Solanum lycopersicum: one gene and its partners. The protein of the gene in region 6 interacts with the protein of the main gene of each other region in a pairwise test. Links are inferred from orthologs where the notes say so. Each region holds a gene or a part of one and is shown on either strand. Other genes may lie near its edges.

What was found.
Region 1: the proteins of protein BREVIS RADIX (region 6) and thioredoxin-like protein CDSP32, chloroplastic interact in binary tests that used the Arabidopsis thaliana proteins (3 or more experiments, as listed by UniProt). The link is inferred for Solanum lycopersicum from reciprocal best matches to the Arabidopsis thaliana genes BRX and CDSP32.
Region 2: the proteins of protein BREVIS RADIX (region 6) and FKBP12-interacting protein of 37 kDa interact in binary tests that used the Arabidopsis thaliana proteins (3 or more experiments, as listed by UniProt). The link is inferred for Solanum lycopersicum from reciprocal best matches to the Arabidopsis thaliana genes BRX and FIP37.
Region 3: the proteins of protein BREVIS RADIX (region 6) and GWD interact in binary tests that used the Arabidopsis thaliana proteins (3 or more experiments, as listed by UniProt). The link is inferred for Solanum lycopersicum from reciprocal best matches to the Arabidopsis thaliana genes BRX and SEX1.
Region 4: the proteins of protein BREVIS RADIX (region 6) and protein GRAVITROPIC IN THE LIGHT 1 interact in binary tests that used the Arabidopsis thaliana proteins (3 or more experiments, as listed by UniProt). The link is inferred for Solanum lycopersicum from reciprocal best matches to the Arabidopsis thaliana genes BRX and GIL1.
Region 5: the proteins of protein BREVIS RADIX (region 6) and MAPK12 interact in binary tests that used the Arabidopsis thaliana proteins (3 or more experiments, as listed by UniProt). The link is inferred for Solanum lycopersicum from reciprocal best matches to the Arabidopsis thaliana genes BRX and MPK20.
Region 7: the proteins of protein BREVIS RADIX (region 6) and CBL-interacting serine/threonine-protein kinase 9 interact in binary tests that used the Arabidopsis thaliana proteins (3 or more experiments, as listed by UniProt). The link is inferred for Solanum lycopersicum from reciprocal best matches to the Arabidopsis thaliana genes BRX and CIPK9.

The regions. Positions count from the first base shown.
Region 1 is NC_090803.1:67,684,140-67,688,118, forward strand, and holds the start of thioredoxin-like protein CDSP32, chloroplastic, read right to left. Parts: upstream 2,801-3,979; 5' UTR 643-2,800; coding exon 214-642; intron 1-213. Other genes in the region: F-box/kelch-repeat protein At3g23880, read right to left, coding at 3,118-3,979. UniProt on the Arabidopsis thaliana protein: Probable thiol-disulfide oxidoreductase involved in resistance to oxidative stress. May participate in the reduction of alkyl hydroperoxides derived from oxidative stress by acting as a physiological electron donor to the BAS1 peroxiredoxin.
Region 2 is NC_090802.1:59,708,002-59,710,926, forward strand, and holds part of FKBP12-interacting protein of 37 kDa, read right to left. Parts: intron 2,525-2,925; coding exon 2,460-2,524; intron 2,360-2,459; coding exon 2,282-2,359; intron 1,621-2,281; coding exon 1,573-1,620; intron 1-1,572. UniProt on the Arabidopsis thaliana protein: Probable regulatory subunit of the N6-methyltransferase complex, a multiprotein complex that mediates N6-methyladenosine (m6A) methylation at the 5'-[AG]GAC-3' consensus sites of some mRNAs.
Region 3 is NC_090804.1:305,270-309,486, reverse strand, and holds the start of GWD (glucan water dikinase), read left to right. Parts: upstream 1-1,417; coding exon 1,418-1,678; intron 1,679-2,337; coding exon 2,338-2,379; intron 2,380-2,496; coding exon 2,497-2,606; intron 2,607-2,702; coding exon 2,703-2,781; intron 2,782-2,875; coding exon 2,876-2,967; intron 2,968-3,048; coding exon 3,049-3,202; intron 3,203-4,217. UniProt on the Arabidopsis thaliana protein: Mediates the incorporation of phosphate into starch-like alpha-glucan, mostly at the C-6 position of glucose units. Acts as an overall regulator of starch mobilization.
Region 4 is NC_090801.1:62,847,449-62,850,850, forward strand, and holds protein GRAVITROPIC IN THE LIGHT 1, read right to left. Parts: upstream 2,033-3,402; coding exon 602-2,032; 3' UTR 501-601; downstream 1-500. UniProt on the Arabidopsis thaliana protein: Required for red (R) and far red (FR) light-induced and phytochrome-mediated deregulation of negative gravitropism leading to randomization of hypocotyl growth orientation.
Region 5 is NC_090806.1:66,716,894-66,719,927, reverse strand, and holds the end of MAPK12 (mitogen-activated protein kinase 12), read right to left. Parts: intron 2,920-3,034; coding exon 2,770-2,919; intron 2,684-2,769; coding exon 2,528-2,683; intron 2,416-2,527; coding exon 2,204-2,415; intron 2,121-2,203; coding exon 2,019-2,120; intron 1,367-2,018; coding exon 1,197-1,366; intron 1,093-1,196; coding exon 638-1,092; 3' UTR 501-637; downstream 1-500.
Region 6 is NC_090807.1:62,148,378-62,152,540, forward strand, and holds the start of protein BREVIS RADIX, read right to left. Parts: upstream 2,801-4,163; 5' UTR 2,493-2,800; intron 485-2,492; 5' UTR 449-484; coding exon 332-448; intron 1-331. UniProt on the Arabidopsis thaliana protein: Acts as a regulator of cell proliferation and elongation in the root and shoot. Regulates roots architecture and primary root protophloem differentiation.
Region 7 is NC_090804.1:62,292,181-62,296,244, forward strand, and holds the start of CBL-interacting serine/threonine-protein kinase 9, read right to left. Parts: upstream 2,801-4,064; 5' UTR 2,689-2,800; coding exon 2,494-2,688; intron 2,142-2,493; coding exon 2,079-2,141; intron 1,778-2,078; coding exon 1,706-1,777; intron 1,636-1,705; coding exon 1,528-1,635; intron 1,435-1,527; coding exon 1,354-1,434; intron 1,233-1,353; coding exon 1,179-1,232; intron 865-1,178; coding exon 739-864; intron 636-738; coding exon 546-635; intron 182-545; coding exon 59-181; intron 1-58. UniProt on the Arabidopsis thaliana protein: CIPK serine-threonine protein kinases interact with CBL proteins. Binding of a CBL protein to the regulatory NAF domain of CIPK protein lead to the activation of the kinase in a calcium-dependent manner. Involved in K(+) homeostasis under low-K(+) stress.

The DNA of each region.
Region 1 (3,979 bases), on a different chromosome or scaffold from region 6:
AATCGCCTCTTATCGAAAGCTAGATCTAGTCATACTCAATCCATTATATATATTAGATATACACCAATCTTTTTACTAATTAAGTTATATTTCATGTATATCTCCATCCATTTCAATGCAGGTAACATAAAGATCCACAAGTAATTATTTTTTTAAACTATCGTCACATAAATTGAAACAGACGTAATAATACGTGTGAATTTCTAAAATTACCTTGTCAATCTTTTCTCTCCGGCAGAGTGCCTTAGTCTTCTCCGTTTCATCTCCGATCACCAACAAGAAATCGACATCGTTACATGTCTTACTTAAATTCACCATAAAAGGATAAATATTTTTCGAACGTTCACTATCTTTGCCTGCAAATTCAACCACAACTAGTCGATTTTTCGCATTTTTTAATGCTTCATCCAATTCCTCCATACTATTAACCTTTTGTACTCTTTCACTTTTAGCCACTTTTTTCTCAACATCAGGTGCTGCTGTTGCCTTTGTAATCAATAAGGGCTTGTTTGTTTTGAGGTTCTTGAAAATTGATTGTTTGGATTTCTCAAAAGGGAAATTGGAGTAAAGTGAAGGGCTAATTTTTGTAATTGAAGCTAGATTTGGAGAGGGTTTGAGCAAAAAATTTGTGAGAGTAGCCATAGATTAAAGATTTTTTTTTTCAAGAATAGCCACAAAAGGAAGAGGGATGTCAAGTTTAGAAGAAAGGGAGAAATGGAAATGTAGTTTGATATGAGGTTGTGACACTATTGGATTGAGTATCTATAAAAATCAACTTGATAGACTTTGGTTACATAGGAGCCACATATATAAAGAGAATATCAAGTTATCTAGATTTTTTGCTTCTTTTGTTTTTATGTGTGATTTTCTTTGGGTCTTATAAAAATCATAATTTGATAGGTAATTAACTTTGTAATTTGTTTGGCCATTTTTTTCTTAATTGATAAGAAATAATTTGTGGGACAAGAAATTTTTAAAGAATAATTAGTGTTTGATGAAACTTTTAAAAACTATAATTGTATTTATCTAAAAAATGTTTTTAACAAAAATTTACTTTTTAGCTTCTGAAAAGCAGTTACATATGTATAAAAGCACCTTCGAAAATAACAAATAAATTTTTTGACCTCCCGAAAGCTTTGCCAAATAGACTATTAGTTAAAAGTTGAACAGCTTGGTAAAGTTATGCAAGCATCAACGACTAATTTCACAGCTCGAATCTATAATCTATAGGTATTACGAAAATGACTTTACCATTGATTTAAAACTTGTTCTCCTAATAGACTTGGTTGAAGATTTTTATTGATTTTATGTATACACTTCTTACATAATAGAAATAGATGTATTTGTTATATTATACGTGGACTAGCTTATTTCTTTTGCCGTAAAAGGTTTGATAATATAATCTTAGTTTGACTTAGACATATTTGTTTTCTTTTTAAGAGTTCTAAAATGTCAAGTGCTTGATATTTTGTAAGAAAGTTGAAATGAGAAGCGACGTGTTAGGCATACGATTTTTCTATCTGTTTTTATTAGGTTTTGAAGTTTATCGGATTGGCTTATTGGTTATCGATTTATAGAGATGCTAAATTGTTATAGAACCATTAAGATATTGGCTTATCGGTTATTAATTTATCAGTTTTTTATCGTTATCGGTTCGGTTATCGATTTAACCATTAAGATTTGACACAAAAGCAGAAACATTGAAAATCACTTTGAAACAAAATGACAAATCAAATAAACCATGCACTTGAGTTCACAAGTTACATCTTGCTCAAAAGCAAACACTTTTACTTTGTAGAATAATCAAGTGTTTGAGACAACTAAAAATAAAAGTAGAAAATTAATTATCGGGTTATCGGTTAACCTATTAAGAAAAAACTTTAAACCGTTAAGAACCAATAACCCGATAACAAAAAAAATCAAAATCGTTATCAAAATCACTAAACCAATAACTCAATACTATAAATCAATAACTTTTTTATCGATTCGGCTTATCAATTTCGATTCGATTTTGAACAGTCCTAGTTCTTATCATATTTTTTTTCTAGTCTGTTTCAGAAAAAAATGTTTTATTAGAAACAATTTAACTTAAAACTTCAAATTTTAGTCTTGATAAGATAATTTATATCGAGAACGTCTAGTTGTCTAGATTTGTTTTAGATCACGTATTTCAAAAATCTTTCCTTCTTTCTTGTTCAATTAAACACTGTAACATAAATAGAGAAATAAAAATTGAGGAGAAATCCACACAGGACTGGATAAAAAGCCCAAAGGAGAATCAACATGAAATCTCAAGGGTTCTAACAGGCCAATATCAATTGTAGAGTCCAAAGACCAGTCTTATTGGAGACCACATAAACATCCTAGTACTAAAATTTAGTCTTGGCCCATTTTTAAAACCAGTATGGGTATATTCTAAATTTCTTACAATTGCAGCAGTGGGCTTTAATATTTTAATTTTTCTTATCTGTCCGAGTTCTATTGAACATAATAATTTGATATTTGCAACAAGAATTATGGTGAAATGGTAAGTATTCTTTCATTATTAATGAGAAGTCTTGTTCGAGTCCCCCTATTAAGCTTTCAGCTTTGAACTTGCTAGCTACATTGGTGCTCTTTCATTACTCTCTAACATGTATGACTCATCCTCAACACCAATAACAACATAACCACTATGATCCCACATGGTGGATCTAAGGGGTGTACACAAACTTTATCCCTACCTTGTGCCGGAGAGAGACTATTCCCGATGGATTCTAGACTCTTCGTGTTGAACCAAACTTCAACCACTTTGTTATTCCTGTTTTTACATGCTTATGTATCAATTGTCTCGTTTTATTACATATGAGCACCATCTGGATTCACTAACGAGATAGCTATCTTCGATACACTTGAAGAGATTTATTATTGGCAAAAAATTGAGACAGGATATGAAAAACTGGACACAACAGAGTTTATATTTCAGAGTTTAAATAGCACCAACATGGAAAACAACAACAAGAAGAAAGATAATCACAATTATTCTACAAGAGTTGTCTATTTACATATCATACTGAGAAATGGATGGGGTACCATTTCTTACCTCAATAGACTCCTCAATCCATAGCTTTTCGCTTTTCAAGGAGAATTTGGCGAAACAAGACTTTCTACATATAGATTAAGCTCGCTTCCACGGTCACATTCACAACGTGTTTGATCCTCAGGACGATCAACACTGTCATCATCTCGTGAAACATACCACCACACTAAACCTGAAACGTCTTGCAATAGAATTTCATCATTATGAGAGATGAATATCGGCCAAACCACCTTATTTACAAATTTAGGGATCGAACCCACAATAGTCCACGACTCTGCAAGTCCATACTCCTTCATTATCCACACATCTGTCTTGTTTCTATAGTCACAAGTCATACATAGATTACCAGATGAAGACACTAATTTCCAGTTACAAGTGTCACCACTTGGGTTCGGCAATGCTACATTGCCAAACCCCTCATCTCCGGGGTTGAACCATGTCGCGTTACTACCACTACCACCACCAGTGATCCAATGGAACTTTCCTTTAATAAATTTAACATTTTCAGGCAAAGAGATACTTGGGAACTCATGAATGGTTTTCCACGAATTATTTCTTAAACTATAAACACTAATATCAGCAATGAGATAACTAGGTTTACTTGCCACAATTTCAACAATATGGTAATCATTTTGAGATTCAATATAACCAAATCCATAAGCAAATCTACGATTGAACACATCAATTCCTGAATAAGGAAGTTTACTCAACTTTCTAATAGACGGATTCCATAGAAACAGATCCTCAATGTCATTATTATACCAGGTTTTTGAAATAACGAACAATCCATCACATGAACACAAAACATAATAACTTATACCAAAATTATGAAGCTCAACAGGTAAACAGGGAGATTCTCCATACAGGATTGCATTAAGAGAATATGTGCGGAAATTTTTC
Region 2 (2,925 bases), on a different chromosome or scaffold from region 6:
ATAAAGAGAAAAAAAAACAGAAAGGTTTTAATTCCATAACTCTGGTTGTAACTTCTAAATTTCTGGATTTTTTTAAAAAATTGATAATGTTGTATTCCTCAGCATTAAGGACATGCTGGAGACCTTCAAAAAGAAGCAAAAAGAGAGTAGAAGGAAGCTGTTTTTAAAAAATTAATGGAACTATATCCATTCCTTGAAACTTTGTTCTTAGTATCATCTGTTCTCACCTAACATGAAGATCTCTTAGGCCATTCATTGAGCAAACTTGAACCAAAATCTTAGAGAACTAGTTAAGGGGGCATAAGCATGTACGCATAATACAAACTTGGTAAATTCAACTCGGAATGAATATGAACTTTGAAAAATAGGATATGGGAATAGAAAATAGGAGGAAAAATTTATGATGCTGATGCGGATTGTGAGCATACTTGTCAAAGGAGAGTTGAACTACAAGGAAATCATCACCCATCAAATGCAGTAACAATTTTAACATCTTCTCTCTTTTTGATAATTGTGTGATCATGAATGAGGGTGTTGTTGGAAAATAGTGCAGGCTTCATAAATTAATTACAATAAAAACAAATCTGCCCCTTAATTAGTAGCATAGATAGTAAGAAACAAGTAGCCACTGAAGACTCAATCTTTTCGTAAAGACTAAAGACCCAAATCCAGCTGGTAGGATGTACATTAGGGTTAAGCAGAATGATTCAAGCAGAGAAGAGGTACAGGCCACCATATGCAGTTCCTAAGGAGATTTATCTTATCAGCCAGTTTGATGGTAGATAAATGCTGCTCTTACCCTTCAGTTATCTTTCCTCCATTAGTCTGGAAGCGAAAAGCTGAACTTGCATCAAAAGTATCAACAAAATAGAAACACAAATGAAACCATTCCTTTCTTGATTCCCTTGCTAACTTACATTTAACTATAACCAAAAACTGCAGCCTTTGAAACTCAAGGGTGAGGGGGCCACCCCTCTACCTTCTACACTTAAATACTGGATTAAGTTCACTTGGCACAGCTCAAACTTGTGACCTAAGAACCAAGTCCCTCAACCTTCGTCAATTGAGCTACCCCCCCCCTCACCCCCACCCCAAGATACTAACTTACAATATACAACCCTAACAATATGCTATGTGGTTTTCTAGCATAATGAGTATACTGGGAATTGATAGGTATTCTAGAACCTTGAGATCAGCACTAGAGTTACAAGTGTTAACACGAGAATTAGATTCTCAGGCCAATATGTGGGCATAAGGTTGGTAGCGGGTTGGTAAGATTCCTTAACTAGAACTAGCACCAGCTAACAATTTTATTATTTAAGCAGAATGCATAAAATTAGCAAAGCAACAACCAAATGACCAGAATGAGCAACTTACTGTGTGAAACAAAAAGAAGCTACATACAACACAGAGATTACACACATAGAACTCCTTTTTAAAGGAGCAAATTGGAAAAATTCACCAAAACAATTGAACAACAGCAGGGAATAGCACATAACACACTCTCACAGTCTCTCTCTCCCTCCTTTTTTTGGGTTTTATACAATGAGTAAGCAAAGATACTACTACTACCTGCATAGATGGCGGCTTGAGTTGAGCTCTAAGGTCCCGAACTGCAGACTAAAACATTCACCAGTAGAAAAAGTAAGAAGAAAGAATTGATCAGCACAAAGTAAAGAGAAAACAATGAATTGGATATATACATTTTAAAACAAAGGCAACTAAAGATGAAGGAAAGAGCACCCAATACTATACATACAAGAAAGGATTTAAAAAAACAACATTCCATTGCCTTCTCACTCGCCTCACCCCAAGAGAAGAAAGACATGACATCTGATCAGAGGTTCTGTCGAGGATAAAACTAGATGTATAACATAAGGGCATCTCTAGTATTGATTAGATAACAGATCTCTTCAATTGACAAAAATGAAAATGAAAGATTATCTGACTAGCAGTAGGCTTTTGTTTACCCTAAAATGTAGGCCGCAAGCTTCATTGCACACCATAAAGATGAGACATTTTCTCAGAGTAAAGTACAACATACAGTTGGCAACTTGGATAGCATCTACAAACTCAAAGTTCAATTTCTTAGTGAAATCATTATCTTTTGCTCCATATAGTTTTCTTGCATGGTTGCACCATATAGTAAGATAACATGTTCAAATATCCTGCTCAATTTTGTTGAGATAGCCGCAAAAGAAAAACAAATTGTATACAAGATAGTTCAAAATTAATCTGTTATACAGGCAATCCATCATTTGATGTACATGGACAAGTTTACCTTCAACTCTGCTATCTCCTGCTCTCTTTTGGCAAAAGTAACAATAAATGCAGCCTCCTTTTTCTTTGCTCTTTCCAACTACAGATTGCAAAGATGAGATAATGATTAGAAAAAACTTCAATAATATTTTAGCAATGAACAAATAAAGAGGAATAAAAAATAAAAATAAATAAAAAACCTGTTCACGCAATGACTCCTCAGATGATCTGATGTTCTGAAGATAACTGACCACAAACTTGGGTTCTGCAAATAAGCACAGAGTTAATTCTCTTCAGAATTAAAGAAACCACTCCGTCTCAATCAACATGAAGATCTTTCCATTCCCGAAATGATGAACATGAATGATATCTCGCTCTCTTTTTAAAAAAAATAATAATAATAACACATGGAATTTAAACAATTCAATTTTAAGCAGTGATGTGATGGTGGAAGCATCACACTAGTCTACTAAGTATTATTTAAAGAACAAGTCAAACTTTCCCATATAACTCCAAACACTTTCAGAACCATATCATCTAACAAATGGGAGAGGAAACTAAAATACGGTGCTTCTTTTATTAATGATGTAGGACTCTCAAACATACAGCATCAATTGGGGAAAACACGAAGATAAAAAAAAACAAGAAGAAAGGAACAGGATTTTG
Region 3 (4,217 bases), on a different chromosome or scaffold from region 6:
AAGGTAGTTTCAAGATTATTGAAACTGCTTCATCTTCATAAATTTATAAATGAGTACTATTACTTTCTCTCTTTTGATTTGATTCAAGGGTCAAAATGTCTTTTTCACTCTTATATATTATCGTGTGCTAAAATTTTGGGACACCACGACTTACTCTCATTTAATGTCTGCCTATAGATCTGTAAAATTGATAGGCCATTTCTTCCTTTAATTTTGTTTTTTCTTTCCACAATTCTATCTTTTTGTCTTGGGTACTGTTTATTGGAAAAGTTTTCTTATATACGTTCCTTAATATTCACGCACTTTTTTTTTTGAATAAGATCAAGTTCAACATTTATTGGATTATTATACCTTTTTAAAAAAAAAATATAATAATAATTACATAGCCTATCTTATTAGGTTCAACCATGGTATATATAGTTGTTTAGAAGCCACAAATAATACCTCAATTCCATTTACTAAAGATTTTGTTGGTGTCATTTATATAACAAATATTGTTTCTAGTCTCTCTCTTCAAATTTGTAATTATTTTATTTAATTTTTTCGTACTAGATAATATAAAAAAAATTTATGCACTAAGAATTAAGAAAATCAATCATTGAAAATTAATTCAATTAGCCAGAGCTAAGAATAGAAGTCTCGTAATTTTTAATTACTTGTTTAATTTTATTAATTATAAAATGATTTTTTCTTTTTGATTTGTGAAAAAGTTCGAAGAAAATATCAAAGAAAAAGAAGAGGTTATAATGAAATTTCGACAAAACTCCAAAAATAACCATTCAAATTGCTCTAGTACGCGGGGCCCACGCCGGCTCCATCTCCCGCAATTCCATAACCAATCCTTCACCACCATAACTCATCTCAAAACTCATTTTCCCTATAATATAATATAATATAATATAATATCATATCATATCATATCATATCATATCAAATACTTTTCCTTTACGTTATTTCACTACCACTTTCCACTCTCCAATCTAAGCTGAATTTGAGGTAAATTTCTACTCTACTTTGATCTGACAACTCCAACATTTTTTTTATCTGAAAATTTGTCTTTCGATCGAATTTGGTGTTGATTTTCATGGTTTAATGTATATAAACCCTAAGCTTAATTTTTCAAATTCAAGCTCGTCTAATTGCAGCATAGCATATTTCGTTTGGTCATTTTTCTATTCGACACAAAAAACTAAACAAAAGTGGGGAAAATGTGATTGATCACCGATATACATTTAATTAGTATATTTCTGTATTGCTTTGAAGGAATTCTGGATTTGGTTGATTCCTTTTTAAAACTCACAAAAAATTTTGTTGCACTTTACAACAAGAAAACTGAAAAAATACTCATTTGATTATTCATGAACGGTCCATTGCTTTTGTATTGATTGATTTTGTATTTTATTAGCAGTGTGAGAAGATGAGTAATTCCTTAGGGAATAACTTGCTGTACCAGGGATTCCTAACCTCAACTGTATTGGAACATAAAAGTAGAATCACTCCTCCTTGTGTTGGAGGCAATTCTTTATTTCAACAGCAAGTGATCTCGAAATCACCTTTATCAACTGAGTTTCGAGGTAACAGGTTAAGAGTGCAGAAAAACAAAAAAATACCAATGGGAAAGAAGCGTGCTTTTTCTACTTATCCTCATGCTCTACTTACCACTGATACCTCTTCTGAGGTAAATGCCCAACCTACCTATATGACAAGATGTGATTTTTATCTAGTTACAATTCAATCAGCTCCTCAACTGGATAATGTTTTCTCATTTATTAGTACATAGTTATCCCGTTTCTTGAATGTTTTGGTCATCATTTACTGCATATAGGCAGTTCTCTTCCTCTTTCCGATTTCGTCTGCTTGATTGCTTAGAAACCGGCTACTTAGCTTGGTTACACTCTGCATAAATGCGGATGATTCCTATAAGATAACTTGAACTTATCTTGTCCCTTTTTCGTTTCTCTTAATATTTCATTCTTGCATTATATTTGTTGCTGGAGTGGGACTCTCCTTGAAGATCTGTTGCTATGACAGATCCTTGTAAGTTCTAATATGAAATCATAATTGAGAATAGATGTCTAATTTTTCCTTTCAGTACTATCATATCCAATAAAAATAAAACTAGAGTTCGACATAGGAAACAAATACTGAATAGTTTATGTACTATGGGAATGTATAATGAGGTGAAAACAAAAGACAGATGTCATTTATTGGTAAATATGGAGCACAAGACTTGTAACTCAGAATCTTTCTCAAAAGGAAAAAAAAGACTCATAACTCAGCATCCATGACGCCGTGCAAATATCTTTCTAATATTACCTATTTTAAATGTTTTAACAGCTAGCAGAAAAGTTCAGTTTAGAAGGGAATATTGAGCTACAGGTACATATGTGGGACACTACCTTTGCAAAACTAATTTTTTATTAATGACTTTCTTGTAAAAGAGTCAGCCTATATGTCTTATGCTGGCCATACAAATTTTCTTCTGCACTATAACAGGTTGATGTTAGGCCTCCCACTTCAGATGATGCGTCCTTCGTGGATTTTCAAGTTACAAATGGTAGTGATAAACTGTTTTTGCACTGGGGGGCAGTAAAGTTCGGGAAAGAGTAAGTTTAATTACAAATTGAACTGTCATCATTTTGAGAGACTTAAGCTTGTGATGACTAATCATCCTTATATTATTCTCTATATGATTATCTTAGAACATGGTCTCTTCCTAATGATTGTCCGGATGGAACCAAAGTGTACAAGAACAAAGCACTTAGGACTCCATTTGTTAAAGTAAGTTGGAATTGGTTTTGCTGCTCTCATACATGAATGGATTAAGTTATGATGCAAAATTGATGATTTTTGGTTGTTGAAATTTTACTCTTAGTCCGGCTCTAACTCCATCCTGAGACTGGAGATACTGGACACTGCTATCGAAGCTATTGAGTTTCTCATATATGATGAAGCCCGAGATAAATGGTAAATGAGTATCTTTGTGAAGGAACAGCATAGCATTATGGTTAAAGAGCTGCATGGATTTCACCTCTGTTTCTTCTTCAGGATAAAGAATAATGGTGGTAATTTTCGTGTCAAATTATCAAGAAAAGAGATACGAGGTCCAGATGTTTCAGTTCCTGAGGAGCTTGTACAGATCCAATCATATTTGAGGTGGGAAAGGAAGGGAAAACAGAATTACACTCCTGAGAAAGAGAAGGCAAGTAACTTATTCCTTTAGTCCCACACCTTTCTGGGGAAGTCATACTGCAAGTTGTTGGTAGCTAACATCACTGAGTTGATCATTTCAAATTCTCAAGCCTTTATTTTCTATTGACCGAGCATTTTGACATTGGCATATGTTGTAATTCTCAACCCTAGTTCAGGATTTCTATGGAACTTAGCTTGTCAACTATATTTCTGTGCATTCCTATCCATGAACACAAACAACCATTTAATCTTTGTTGATGTTATTTGCATGCTTTCTCAGAATATATCAACTGGTTGTTTGGTTCATGGATAGGAAGCCATAGGTGATAGGACTATTATTGCTCCCTGTTGCAGATACTGTTACTAAGGAGTCAAGGCATTGCTTTCTGATTTGCATTTTGCCCATGCTAAATACGGTGGGGTTGGTTTTAGGGAAAATTTTGTACAAGACTAGTGGTGGCTCAAGTTTACCATAAAATTGTTGTTTTAATTTTAAAAATTCTAGTCTTAGAGTCAACAATTAGGCTTTAAATTTTAATCAAGTACAATCAGTAAGCCAACTTTGACATGAAATCAAGTCTAAAGTCTATGAATGAGTATGACCAGTTCTTTTTTTTTTGTTTTCTTTTTTTAAGGTAAGAAAGGCTAGATTATTATCCAGTGTGGATGCATATAATTACAGAATGTGTAGTTAGTCTGTTAATAGCCAGGAAGTAGGAACCAGTAAAATAAAACAAAAAGTCTGTATCATCTATATAAGTAAACTACACCATAAAGCAGCAAGTTGTAAAGTAGATTATCTCAAATTGTTTGATGAATTTCTCCCAACATAAAGATATCCAATGTTTCTCTTCGTCCAGGTGACCAAAAAATATGAAGAGGTCTCATATTCCATATACTGATGTTGCTTCTTTTTCTTCCCTCCATTTCCAATTGAACAAGAATAGTTTCAGAGATTTTGCCATCACCCAAGACCCAAAATAGGGTCAATGACATGTATTGAGTTGCTAGAGCACAAAGCTAAT
Region 4 (3,402 bases), on a different chromosome or scaffold from region 6:
GAAAGTCAGTCTTCTTTATATCCTTCTGTTTGACTACATTATATAGAACGAATATAAGCTTCCAGCTGCAATGGAACCCTATATGTTCAATGAAACGTCAAAAACAATAACCATGAAAAGTTCACAGGACTGATCTTGAAAAGAAAATGAATGTCATACATATACAAAGAATTTCTATCCTACGGCCAGTGGCCTAGACCCAAAAAAAGGGGCTTTTATCAACTTACTCAAAGCATCATAAACTAAGTCCAATATTAGCATACTGTATCAGTAACAAGAAAAGAAAGATGAACATGCACAAAGTTGTACCAAAACTGCAAAAATTAGTAAAAGGGAACTTAAGGTTCGAAGATACCCATTATATAGGTGGTAGATTCATTTCACAAAGCCGCGCAAAAATTACATTTTAAAGTCTACTGGAGCAAAACTTATACTAACCTTTTGAAGTTTACCGGGCAAACAAAAGACATAATTTCAATCATTGTTTTGCACGGAAAAGATCCCCAAGTCAAATATATCAGTTTTTATTTTGATACCAACTAATACGACTAATACATAGACAAGGCAAGTAATGCATGACTAATTTATGTCCATCCCAAACTTAAAACCCATTTTTGGGGACTAAATAAACCCTAGCCTTAACAACTGATCCATTTCCAAGCTTAAACCCGGGACTAACTGGAAACCCGACAACTAGACCCATACCCATTCTCCCTCCTATCCCCATGGAAATGGAATACTTCACCACACTTTCCATGTACTTGGGGTGAAACTCCGATCCATTGCTTGTCTCAAAGTGACTTGGCGGAGGATCCAAAGAAAAGGCCAGCAAATGCAGCAGCCAAACGGCCTTTGCTAGCCCAAGAAACTCTCCGTAAAACTGACTCCTCGGATGGTTCCCAGCCAGTACCTGACGCCTCTGCTCCAAATCACCAAACAAAGACTCCTCCATTTTAGGATGCACGATGGCCAAATACTTCTTGAAACAGAAGTTCCCAAAACTACAAGTTGGGAGAATTCCCAGAAGTTCCATTGGGTCCATGGCTTTCATGTCCCTGTACTGTGTATAACACTCCCGGCGGTGCTGGTCTGGGTGGAGGAGTGATGACAAGCTTCCGTCCATGTAGAACGTCTCGTGATCGAATCCTTGGAACATTTTGCGGTTCACATAAGATTCCAGTGCGTATTTTGCATGGTTGGCTCCGACAATTGAATCCGCCGTTGGTGTGGTGGAGTTAGATGAAGCAGCTTCAATGGATCTCACTGCCGCCGCAATGTCCCAGTGAGCAGAGCGCATCAAAGAGAGGAGCATACTCGTGAAGGATTTTGAGGCTTCTTTTACTGAGCTCACTGTAGATTCGAACAGGTCAGGTGCCGGCGACATATTAACTGGAGCTTGACTGCTGCAGTTAACTCTCCGTTTTGACTTGTTTTTCTTTCCACTATTGCTGCTAAGCAACGTCGCCGTTTTTAGCTTTTCCTTCAAATCATCGATCTCAATATCCTTTGCCTTCACCTCTTGCTTCAGTTCTTCCACGGCTGACTCATACGGCGCCACCACTTCTCTCAGCGTCGCCACCCCGACTCTCCAGTCCCCTCTTTCACTTCCACCGCCGACATTCCGCCGGAATCTTTCCCTCAACACTCCAAGCCTTCGCAGTTCAGATATCACAGCCACGTCAGCCACGCGCATTTTATCCTGATCCCAAGGACAATGCGCCTCCTGTAGACTAACGTAAGCCTTCTTCATTGCCGACACTGCATCAAACACTTCCCCTAAAAGCATTTCCATTTCATTTACTTTCTCAGTTCTTATCTCCTCATTTTTTACCTCGAAATTCTGGAATTTTTCCAGAGTTTCCACATAAGGTGAGTGTTCTTCTTCTTCTTCTTCGGTAGTGTACTTGTCATCTTCAGATTCGTCGGCGTCACGAGCACCAGAGATGTGGCCGTTGGAGGAAAGTGGGTGGAGCAAGCAAGAAGCAGTGACACGTTGGATCAGATCCGAGAAATTGGAAACCTTGTTGGCCATTGTCTAACACAGTAGCAGCAATTTTGGGATCAAAAGTGAAACAAGACTTGACAGTCCAAGATGATATGGTTCACAAGTTTAGTTATTATTTACATTCAGGACCGATTTATTTTACAATTAATTGTCTCTTGTTCTTCTTATCTTTCATAGAAAATAGTCAAAATGTTGTTGGTGATTTTTTCTAACCTTATCTTTTATTTCCGATTCCAACATATTTTAATAGCTGGTCAAACTGACTTAAAAGTTGATTTTTAACTTATTTAGTTGTTTGGCAATACTCAAAATAACATTTTTTAAGTTTAAAAAAATTTATTTTAAGTCAAAAGTTAAAAGTTGGGATAGGGGTGTTTTTTTTTTAAGCTTAGCTGTTTTTAAGTTGACCAAATTTTTACCTTTTTGCCCTTAATATTTTTATACGATCTTCAAATTACCCACATATTTCTAACATCTCTTTCTTCCATTTTTCCCTTTTTCACGTGTGGATGATAGACAATTACTATTACTAATGAATGAAAATAAAAAAAATCTTAAATCTTTCAAGTGATCTATTCAAATTATATATTATTAAAATGTAAAATAAGTTGCACGTAGAACTTAAATTAAAATTTATATTCCTCTTATAAATAATTTGTGATAATAAAGAAATATGTGAATGATAGACAATTATTATTACCTATGGATGAAACTAAAATAAAATCTTAAATCGTTCTTTGATCTATTCAAATTATATATCTTTAAAATCTATAATAAGTTTATATCCCTCTTATAAATAATTTGTGATGAGAAAGAAATATGTGAATGATAGCAAAATATAATTATATATGGCTGTAAAATATAAATTAATTAACTTTTATTATGTTAACAGCTTTTAAGGGTATTTCAGACATTTTGATTTAAAAAGTTGTTTATCAGCACTTATTTGTCAAACATATCAACAACTTTTTTTTAACTTCAGCACTTTATTCAAACGCATATCTGCTTATTTTTAAAATAAGTTTCAGCACTTTCAAAAATACTTTTTTAAAGCTGCTTTTATTAAGCCTATCCAAACGGGCCCTTAATAGTCAGATAAGAGTGAATTAGAACTCTTTTAATTGTTATTTGGACCTTTTAAATTGCTTAAGTATATATTTTGGACTTCTTAAATTTTCAAATGCATACTTCAAATTGTTGTATATGAAACCTATTTTAAAATAGGAGCGAGTATCTTTCGATAAGAAAACATACAAGTACTACGGGTGTGCTTGGTAGTGAGAAAATATTTTTGATGAAAAATGTTTTTTTATAAAATAAGTAGATTTTGAATTTATTTTTTTATTTTTTGTCGGTGAATAAAAAATATTTTTTTAAAATAATTTTAGTGTTTAATT
Region 5 (3,034 bases), on a different chromosome or scaffold from region 6:
TGAGTTTTGGCTACCAATACATATTAAATTAATTTGGATTTCATGAATATTTTTTTTATTGATTTGGTTGGTAGATGTTTCGTGATGAACTAGAAAATGATTCAACTTACTAACGAAAAAAAAAGAGAGTACATTATAGCATTAAAAAGAAGGTACATTATAGTGTATGGGTAGTTAAAGTGGTTCATTAAGCCACAATTTTTAATTTGTTTTAGCATCAGAATGTACACAAATAAGCAAAGAACACCTAAACAATTAGCATGGAAATTATATGTTCACTAAACCAGATGCCTCGTGATGAGAGGAACGAACTGTGATCGAAAAAAGAAAACTCGAGGGACATTTTTCGCTTCGTTGAATTTCAGAAAGAGACTCGCTGTTGCGGAGAAGGGGAGGGGACATTACCATCACTAAAATGAATTTCATGATGAAAATATGATATAGTCTTCATGTGATAACAACTAGGAAAAACTGACAATTAGGAAATAGGACTAGATCCCCTGCAGATTCTCCTGCCTGTACAACCCACCATACCCTTTTGTCCAAAGAGTTTCTGCCACCATTCCTGAGATGGACTTTCTCCAACCCCACCCAACATGTATGTATTCATAATTTCACCACTTTGGAGGTGTATTTTCTAGTACATCCTGGACATACCATACTGAACAGTCCCTACTTTCCTATGAGCTGCACCACTAGTAGCTGCTGCCGCCGCAACTCCAATTCCACCATATTGGGATTTAGCCTGCAATAAGTTTGTGTCTATGGTGATTCGGTCATCAACACGATCTGGTTTTGTAACTCCAGCTCGCATCATATAGAATGGGTTGCTATCAATATTTATAGCAATATCTGGGGCTAACTTAGCAGCCATTCCACATGGTGCCATTGGCTTTGAATGACAATTCATATCCCTCTCTGTCTCAACAGACCTTTCTTGTTTCACCACCCCACTTCTGTCGTAGCTGTAAACTGAAGACATAATCTGAGGGGGGCCTACTGCATTCCTGACTTGAGACCTAGGATCATATTTTTCTCTATTTCCCGAATCATAAGCCAAACCGGGACCAACAACTTTTCCTGGTTTGGCTGCTGGATTTAAATAGAAGATTGTGAACCATATGAGCATCATTGGAAACATCACAGTATTACAGAAAGTCAAAGTAGAAAAGTATTTCATCATTGACGGAAAATACCTAAAGCATTTCTTGGCTGAGCCTGTAGGGTTCTTGTTAGACTACTTGCAAGGCCTTCAGAATCTCTGCAGTTTCTACTGCAAGACTCTTCACCATTTTGTCGGTCTCTCATATTGGCAACAATAGGCTGTTCTTTCAAAGGGTTTGGATTTGAATGTACAACTGTAGACCTGCAATAGAATCACCGTGTTATCATTTCTAACTTAAAATAACACCAAACAAACAAGTTATACAATAAACTTTTGATTCATTCATCTTAAAAAATGCAAACCAAAGACTGACAGATATTGTATGATTGCATATACAAATTTACATCTGAAGCCAAAACTAAGATGCATATAAAGCATGAATTTAATAAGCAATCTAGTATTTGAATATCTGAACTAGTGATGGCCCGATTAAACATACTATGTAAATATATAGAAGGATATTAACACAGAATTGCAATTTTATTTTTATTTTTTTTTGGAGAATGGTAACTAACACAGAATTGCAATATAAGTGCATGCAGGGAACGTCCCAAGCCGAAACATCAACTGGTTTCCCTAATAGCACCAAACATCCAGTCAACTCAAATTCTTTATACCAAGTTGTCATATAAAAGGAAAGATTTGATCTTCTTCCTAGAATGGTAACTAACACAGAATTGCAATACAAGTGCATGCAGGGAACGTCCCAAGCCGAAACATCAACTGGTTTCCCTAATAGCACCAAACATCCAGTCAACTCAAATTCTTTATACCAAGTTGTCATATTTGATCTTCTTCCTAGATTAGACGATGTTATAAAGGAGGAAATTTGAGCACCAGGACTCATAATCACCTTGGAAGAGAGACATGCTTCCTGTCCATCGGAACCACTGGAACGCCATTACCACCGTTCTCTTCCAAGTGAGCGAACTGTTTCCTGAATTGATCAACAGCACTGCAAGGAAAAGCAATATGTAGTCAGTAATCCTTTGTTTAGACGAGTAAGCTGATGCACAAATGTCAAGAAAAATATACTACCTCGGATACAGAAAATTAGTCCTTTCTACACCATTCAAGTAATCCTTCCTCAGCTGAGGATGATATTCTAGTATCTCCCGGAATATTAATTCCCTGAGATCCTCCTTCGTCACTCTTCGCCTCTCAAATTCGAACTCCATTTTTGAAATTGACTTGCATGATGGTTCCCTTTCAGATTTAGCCAGACCCTTAAAATAAGGATCAGCTAGTGCCTGATTTGTTGGGTGGGGGGTGTATTAGTAATTACCATGCAAGAGAACAAATTATACTAAAATATCCAAAAGAAAAGCTCAAAATTAGTATGATCGGCATGCTAACACGAACCTCCTCAGCAGTGGGTCGGTCCTTGGGGTCAAAAGCAAGTAATCTTTCAAGAAGTTTAAGGGACAAAGGATCAGCATTTGGAAATTTCTGAGCAAAAGAAACAGGCTGCTTCTTTCTCATGCTAGTTAGGTATCTCCTAGCCTTGTCATTACGCACCTGCAACAGCCATAAAAAAGTCTAATGAGAAACACAAGTTTTGAGGAAAAATTGTCAAAAACGTAATGTTAATTGAATTCACATACACGAGAAATTGTATCCATTGAAGGCGTTCCAAGCAGATCAGTCATTAAATCCAGTTGGTGAACTACATTTTTTCCAGGAAAGAGCGGCTTCCCCGTAAGAACCTCAGCAAAGATACAGCCTATGCTCCATATATCAATTGCAGGGGTATACTGCAAGCAGAAACCATCAAAATTTGTGATAGTCAGAACTACATGCAGTGCAATGATTATAAACAAATTCCAGGAAAATTGACACTCTACTATGAAGGGTGATTGACCTCACAAC
Region 6 (4,163 bases):
TAAACGGTATTATTAAATCGAAATAACATCTGAAATTATAAGATAAATAAGCCTCTCTAAACCATACAAATGAGGGTCAAAACTCGAATGAAGGGTTTGATTGAATAGTGAAGAGTCTCACTCGTGCCTTCACTACTATCAGTAACGGGAATATATTCAGTAAAATCTCACTAAGTAGGATCTGAGAGAGGGAAAATTTATACCAATTGTATCACTATCTCGCGGAGCTGGAAATCACGTCTTCAAACTACAAACGTCTTAATAATAATAATGAAATATGATATTCGAAATAGATTATTATAATGAAATTTCAAAAGTAGAAAAATAGTACCTGTGCTGTGAGGCTTTTGATGGAATCTTTAGTATGGGGAGTAGGAGCACGGCCACGAGGTCCTTCTTCACCTCCATCATCTTCTATCTTTTGCTTACACGTTATACATGTCAACATCCTTCTCCTACACTCTCCCTTACTATATCTTTTCTCCTACAAAAAATAATTAAAATGAGTTAAGAGTAAAAAAAAAAGATATAATACATTTAAATTTATGTCTTTTTTAACTTTGGGCGTACACAAATAGACACTTAAACATGTATAAAGTTGAACAAATACACACATGTCATTTTTTGTCCTACATGTATTGTGTCATGTAGGACTCATGAGTTTATTTATTCAAAAGTTGGATAGTTAAAGTGTCTGTTTGTACATTATGAAAGTTGAATGTCAAAGTTAAAATTTGAAGCCAAATTTAGGATCCAATATATGTATTATGCCAAAAAAAATTCACTAAACATATATTTATAACAAAAACGGATATTTCGTTACGTTTGTGAGAGAGAATTTTGAATATTATAATTTTAGCATAATTTAACAGAAGTTGCAAATTTGAATCTTATTATCTAACTTATGTATGTTAGATGAGATGTTGAATTTTAAAAAGTTTACTAAATATAAAAAGCAAAGTTTGTTTGAAACAAAATTAAAATGAAAAGTGAGAGAAACAATTTAGTATACATTTTTTTGTTTTTCTTCTTGGAAAATAATGTAAAACATTGACAATTTTTAGTCACATAAAAACCAGACAATCTTAATACTAATTCTACGACAACAATAACGAATTTAGTATGATATCATAAAATAGAGAAATTTGAATATACATCGCACTTTGGAAATACATAAAAGATTATTTTCAATAGATTTTTGACTGAAACAAAAAAAAAAAGCGGGATCTGTGTTACCTATATATATATATACTTATACACACACAAACAGTTACTTGAGGACAGTGTTCATTTGACCTAATCGAATTCTCTAAATGAAAAATAACTCAAATATTAGAAGAAAACTCTAACGTATACCGAATGTAGTCCTACAAAGTATGATATAAAATATACGTATATCTTAGCTTTATCTTATAGATAAAAGAAGTTGTTTTTAAAAATGAAGTTAATGAAAAAATAAATACATGAATGTTGTAATTTATCTACCAAAAGACAAAAAGAAAAGAAGTTAAAACAGAAAGGGAAAAGAGTATGTGTTTGTTAATATATTAAAGAGAGAAAAAAAAAAACTCATTCTGTAACATTGCTTTAATGTATAGATAAATAAAGAAAATTCATAATTAAAAGAAAGAAGAAGAAAAAACAGACCTTAATTTTTTTAAAAAAAATTATCAATGACCAGAGCCGAATTTTCTGACAGATAATTCATCATTATTAATGAATTATAACATATTTTTTAAAAATAAAATAAAAAAGTAAAAAAAAAAAAGTGGAAAAAAATAGGAGTAGGAGCAGAGTATAGAATGAATGATAAATCGCTGTATAAATTAATAGACATTGTCGAGTTTTGAAAGCGGCCACTGATTCTACATACAGACAAACACTCTTGATAGTGACCCAACCCTCCAAAACAAAAAAAAAATTAGTTTTATGTGTCGATTTTAATTTGTTTATTTGATTTTGACTCGAAATAATATTTATGAGATTTGAAAAATATTTTTAAATCTCATAGTTTTAGTCTTAAAAACCTGTTTGTATTGACTTATTTTATATGTTTTCGAGGTAATAGATTCAAACATTGTTAGAGCATCTGTGTAAGTTAGTAAAAATGCTTATAAACATTTAGTTTTTAAACTAAAATCAGACAAAATCATAATTTTACCTTATAGCTTTTTTCTTTACTTATAACTTAAAAATGAAAAATCATTCCAAACGAGTTCTAAAGATTTGTAAAATGTGTTTCACGGTAAGCATTCAAGAATTAATATATTTTTTAAATAAATTTATATATATATATATATATATATATATATATATATATAATATAAGTCTCCGTTGTAGGGTGTTTAATTCACCATTTTTCATTATATGTGGCTACGCCACTGTTAAGATGTACGTATTAAATAAAGAGTTGTCGAATTTTTTTTAAAAAAACTAAAATGAAAAGTAAGATAAGCAAATCGAAAAGCAATTTTTTGTAAGGGTATTCATACCTCGGAATGGACAACAAAATTTGCAGAAACTGAGCTTAAATCCTTCAGTAAATATTCAAAATGTCTTCAACAAAATTCTTCCTTTTTGCTATTTTTGGATACCCTTTTGCAAATCTTGAAGAAATATATAACCAAATCACCAGAAAAATATTCACCGGAGCCGGCGAGTCTCCGGCGACAATTTTTTAATTTGATAAAATTTCAAATACAAACAAAAATTGAAGGGAGAAAGAACAAAGAAGATGGAGAATATATGTAAATGTAATGAAAAAAGCACAAAAATAGAGTGAAGACAAAGTAAGAGAAAACAACATTGGAAAATTTGCAGAGGTATTTATAGGAGGAACTGACGCCGTCAAATTCTGTCGTTATTATATAACGGAAACCGTGTATTTATATAATGGATATAAAGGGGGTACAATGCATTGTTTGGTTGTACATTGTGCTTTAAGGGTTTGGACTTTATTAAGGGTTTTGTCATTTGGACAAATGGATCAAATGTGGTCTTGATTGGGGAAGACATGATGGCCCATATGTCGAGGTTTGTACACGTGGCGTTGTTTGATTTGATTAGAAGTATTATTAAAGAGTGGGTCAACCTCGAAAAAATTTTAATAAATATTTTGGTTTGGGGAATTAGGAAATTAATTTTATTGGATCAAAGAACAATCAAATCATTGTCTTTTAATTTTTGTCATAAAAAAAAGTAATTTATTTTCGTGTTGTTAATTCCGATTTAATTTAAACGTTAATTTTAAAAATGAATTACTTTTATTACATGCTTGATTCCACTTATTTTACTGCTTTTCTGAGCATATTTATTTAATAGAGGAAAAAGTAAAAGTGAACTGGAAGTGATTTCTCAGTCACTTATTCAAAATTAAGGGCCCGTTTGAATGAGCTTAATAAAAGTAGCTTTAAAAAAGTAATTTTGAAAGTGCTGAAACTTATTTTTAAAATAAGCAGTTGTGCGTTTGGATAAAATTGCTGAAGTTAAAAAAAAAGTTGTTGATGTGTTTGGCAAATAAGTGCTGATAAACAGCTTTTTAAATCAAAATGTCTTAAATACCCTTAAAAGTTGTTAACATAATAAAAGTTAATTAATTTATATTTTATAGCCATAAATAATTATATTTTGCTATCATTCACATATTTATTTCTTATCACAAATTATTTATAAGAGGAATATAAACTTATTATAGATTTTAAAGATGTATAATTTGAATAGATTAAAGAACGATTTAATATTTTATTTTAGTTTCATCCATAGGTAATAATAATTGTCTATCATTCACATATTTCTTTATTATCACAAATTATTTATAAGAGGAATATAAATTTTTATTTAAGTTATATGTGCAACTTATTTTACATTTTAATAATATATAATTTGAATAGATCACTTGAAAGATTTAAGGTTTATTTTATTTTCATTCATTAGTAATAGTAATTGTCTATTATCCACACGTGAAAAGGGAAAAATAGAAGAAAGAGATGTTAGGGTTACGTGGATAATTTGGAGATTGTATAAAAATATTAAGGGCAAAAAGGTAAAAATGTGGTCAACTTAAAACAGCTTATAAGCTGGGAAAAAAAGCACCCCAACACCAGCTTTTAACTTTTGGCTTAAAATAAGTTTTTTTTAACTTAAAATAAGCTGTTTTGAGTATT
Region 7 (4,064 bases), on a different chromosome or scaffold from region 6:
GACACACGATGTTTGGTTCTCGATACAGATTATAAACATAGTTGAAAATGTGACTTACGTCCGAGCCATTGAATATGGCATCAATGTCATCAAGATTGACATCTTCGTCTTGCTCAAAAGGAGGCGGCTTGTAATCTTTCTTGAACCACTCATCTTCGAGGATCTCTGGAATAGTGATCCTCTAAAACAAAAGATCAGAAATCACTCATCGTAATACATAAATAGACACTCAAACTTGACCTCAACTGGAGAGGATTGCACACCAACACACTTCAACTTAGTCTCAACTGACAACTAAACACTCTAACTCGTCCCCACTATATCTCGTGGACACCCATTGTTGAAGTGACACATAAATTTAGAGGTGTATAGATAATCATTCTGTAAGTGGAGTGTTCAACTATACAATGGAGACGAGTTGAGGTGCGTCTAGATACACATACTCAAAGTTGGAGTGTTTACTTGCCAGTTGAAACCGTCTGTTTATGTATCATGTCAATAACTCATTCTAGACAGTAAATTAAGCAAAGATAAAAGGGACTTACTGTGAGTGGATCCGGGTCAAGAATACGGTTGATCAGATTCTTTGAGCTGGAGGACAACCATGGTGGAAGTGAAAACGTAGCCTTCAGGATCTGACAGCAATATACATGCAAAATTATTCAGACAACATTCTGAAAATAAACGAACGAAGAATTCCAGAAACATCTCTGATCATTTGAAACTTTCAGAAATTACTTTTCGGTATAGAGCATTTAGGTTTGGCTCATCAAAAGGTAAGTATCCAGCCATTAGAACAAAGAGAATGACTCCACAGGACCAGACATCAGTTGTTGTACCATCATAGCCTTTGTCAGTTAGCACCTGATACAACACTTCTTGTTAAAGACAGCAAACAGTAAGATACAACTACTCCCTCCGTTTCAATTTGTTTATCTGGTTTTGACTTGTCATACAGTTAAGAAAATAAATAAGCCTTATGATTTGTGTGATCTTAATCGCCAAAATGTCCTTTAATCTTGCAGTCTTAAACATCTCATGTCGGAAGTTAGGATCAAAGAGTTAGCCAACAAAGGAAAAAGACATTCTTTTTTGAAACGGACTGAAAAGGAAAGCAAGACAAACAAATTGAAACGGAGGGAGTAACTAGTAATGACTACTCTTAAGGTTGTTGTTACCTCAGGGGCGACATAGTTAGGTGTGCCACAAGCAGTATGAAGCAGTCCATCGTCCTGAATAACGTTGAGAGTATTCCATCAATAATACTAAAAAGTGAATACGATTGAAGTGAGGGACAGAGTGAATAGCTCTTTATATACTCTTTAACCTCTTTCAATCGTACAGAATACTTACTCGAACTTGCTTGGAAAGTGCACTCAATCCGAAGTCTGAAACTTTCAGAATACCAAATGAATCCAGCAATAGATTCTCAGGCTACAAATCGCATAACTCAATATTAATACTAGCCAAATCGTGAAGATAAAAAAAAATTTGGTATCTAAAAGAATGCGATCAAGGGTCAGAAACCTTCAAGTCTCGATGGAAAACACCTCTACTATGACAGTAATCAACGGCATTAATAAGCTGTTGAAAGTATCTTCTAGCTTCATCTTCTTTGAGTCTTCCATGTCTAGCCTGTAATATATCTTATGTATAAGGACATTCTCGTTGCAATACAAGCGAAAACTTATAAAAATAAACTTACAATTTCATCAAAGAGCTCTCCTCCATGTACATACTCGAGGACAATATAGATCTTCGTCTTACTAGCCATAACCTAATATGTAACCAGAGTTAGAATAAAGAGAATTACAAATATATGAAGCAATATTCTACCCTCTACGAGATAAGGATAAGGTTTGCGTACAGTCTACCCTCTCCAAACCCCATTTTATGAGATTACATTGGATATGTTATTGTTGTTATAACAAAGATATGAAGCACTCAAGACGATAAGCACGTGTAACTTCAAAACTTTAGAAAAAATGGAAGCAAAATCATGTGTATGCTTGTTCAATCGCCATAACTTGACATGGAAATGAGAAATGCTCAAATAAATTGTATGTTTTACGACATACCTCAAAGATCCTCACGACATTTGGATGTCTGATCAACTTCATCGTTGATATTTCTCTTTTAATCTATCAATCAAAGTACATCATAGATCACATAATCGCCCTTCCTTTCGAAAATCAAAAGAAATTTGCAACAGAAATTCATCATCTAACATCTTTCATTCCCTTTATTCAGAACAAAAAACAACATGACAACGTACATTTTCACAGTTACTTATGTGCTAACTAGTTCAATTACACATCATAAAACTTTTGACTTCACAACGATCTCAAATGCTAGTAACTGAATTCTAAATTTTGATTTTTTTCACATTTTTATTGAATTTCATAACATATATATACAACGTTTGAGCCAACGTACGCAATAGCCTACATCTGGCCCTGGATGCAAAATGTGTGTACAGGGCAAGGGGGGTACCTGTTCCATAATGTTTTGTCGTAGGACGCGATCACGATTGATGATTTTGATGGCTACATTTTCACCTGTTTGTATATTTTTGGCATACTTTACCTTAGCAAAACTTCCCTCACCTAATGTCTTACCCAATTCATATTTCCCTAAACGTGTCCTGCTACGACTAAATGGCGATGACGTTGACGTTGAGCTACTCATTATCGTATGAGTTCTTGTAGATATCCTCGAAAACCGAATGTGATAAGAGGAAACGAAAAAATCCTTACGAGTGTATTTTAATCATTGGATGAAAAGAAAGAGAATAATATGCGTGACTTTCTCCACAATTTCATGGCTAAGCCTTCCAAAATGAGTGGCAAATCCACTACTCTGGTCCGTTCCAAAATAAGTGTAGTTCTAGTAAAAATATCCTCATATTGAAATTAAATATTCTTTTTCTTAGTTATGTTCGGTAATCGAAAAACCAAAGTACAAACGAATTGTTGATGTTCTCTCTTTTATGATTTATAATGAATGAATTTTACAAAGTTCAACAAAATATTAATTTATTTTTTTTATAAATCATCCCTCTTTTTTTAGTGGAGTTTTCAGCTATTTTTAAATCTCAAATAATGATTATTCTACTTTTAAGAAGAGTTTGAGAAGAAAAAAAAAGGATAATGTTGGACAAACTATTGTTTAATTGATGTTTTTAAATATCTTTCTTAAGGAATGTGTCCGCATACCAATAATTCATTTATATTAGATCAGAAGAAGCATATTGTATTGTTGGAACCAGTGAAATGTTTTTCAATGTCAAAATGATTAATAAGATAGAGAAGGGTCAAAAATGCTTGTGAATCATGTGAATTTGATTATTTAAATCGTTCGTTATATTTTAAAATAAAAAATGTTATTTTAAAAAACCACAAATATTTTTAAAAGTCAATACCTCAAAATTTTAGTGACATCCCATCACCTAAGCGTTGCTAACTAGAATTCACTTTTAAAAACTAAGCTTTTAGCGATAATAAAAGTCGACATATAAGCTCATAATATCGCCACTAAAGATTTTAACTGATTTTTAGCATTAAATAATGATTTTGTGTTTTTTCTAATATTACAAATGATATCGATTAAGGAGGAGTTTGAAGACATTATATATTTTATTATTATGTCATATGTAAATGTATAAAATGTACAATGATCCATTGTGTACAAGGACAATTGAATCTGGAAGTTATTTTGATAATTTTCATAATAATATTAAATGTTTTAAGATTTTTAATGTTGATAGTGAACGCTGTTTATTTTAGAAAAACAAAATTGCAACCGAAAATTAATTATCAAAAACAGGTTTTACTAGCGGTTGCACTTGCTGCAGCATTGGTTCTGAACTTACAAAACACTTTTTGGTATGTTATATTAACAACATGGCAAGTTTCATCCTCTCATAATTCTAAATCACGAGATTAGAATTCAATTTATATTAATAGAAACTACGATTCAAACATTTCTTGATACTCTCTCTATATAATTGTTCATGCGTTCCTGATTCGATATCATACAGGAGTTTCCGAAGAATTCAATTTCAC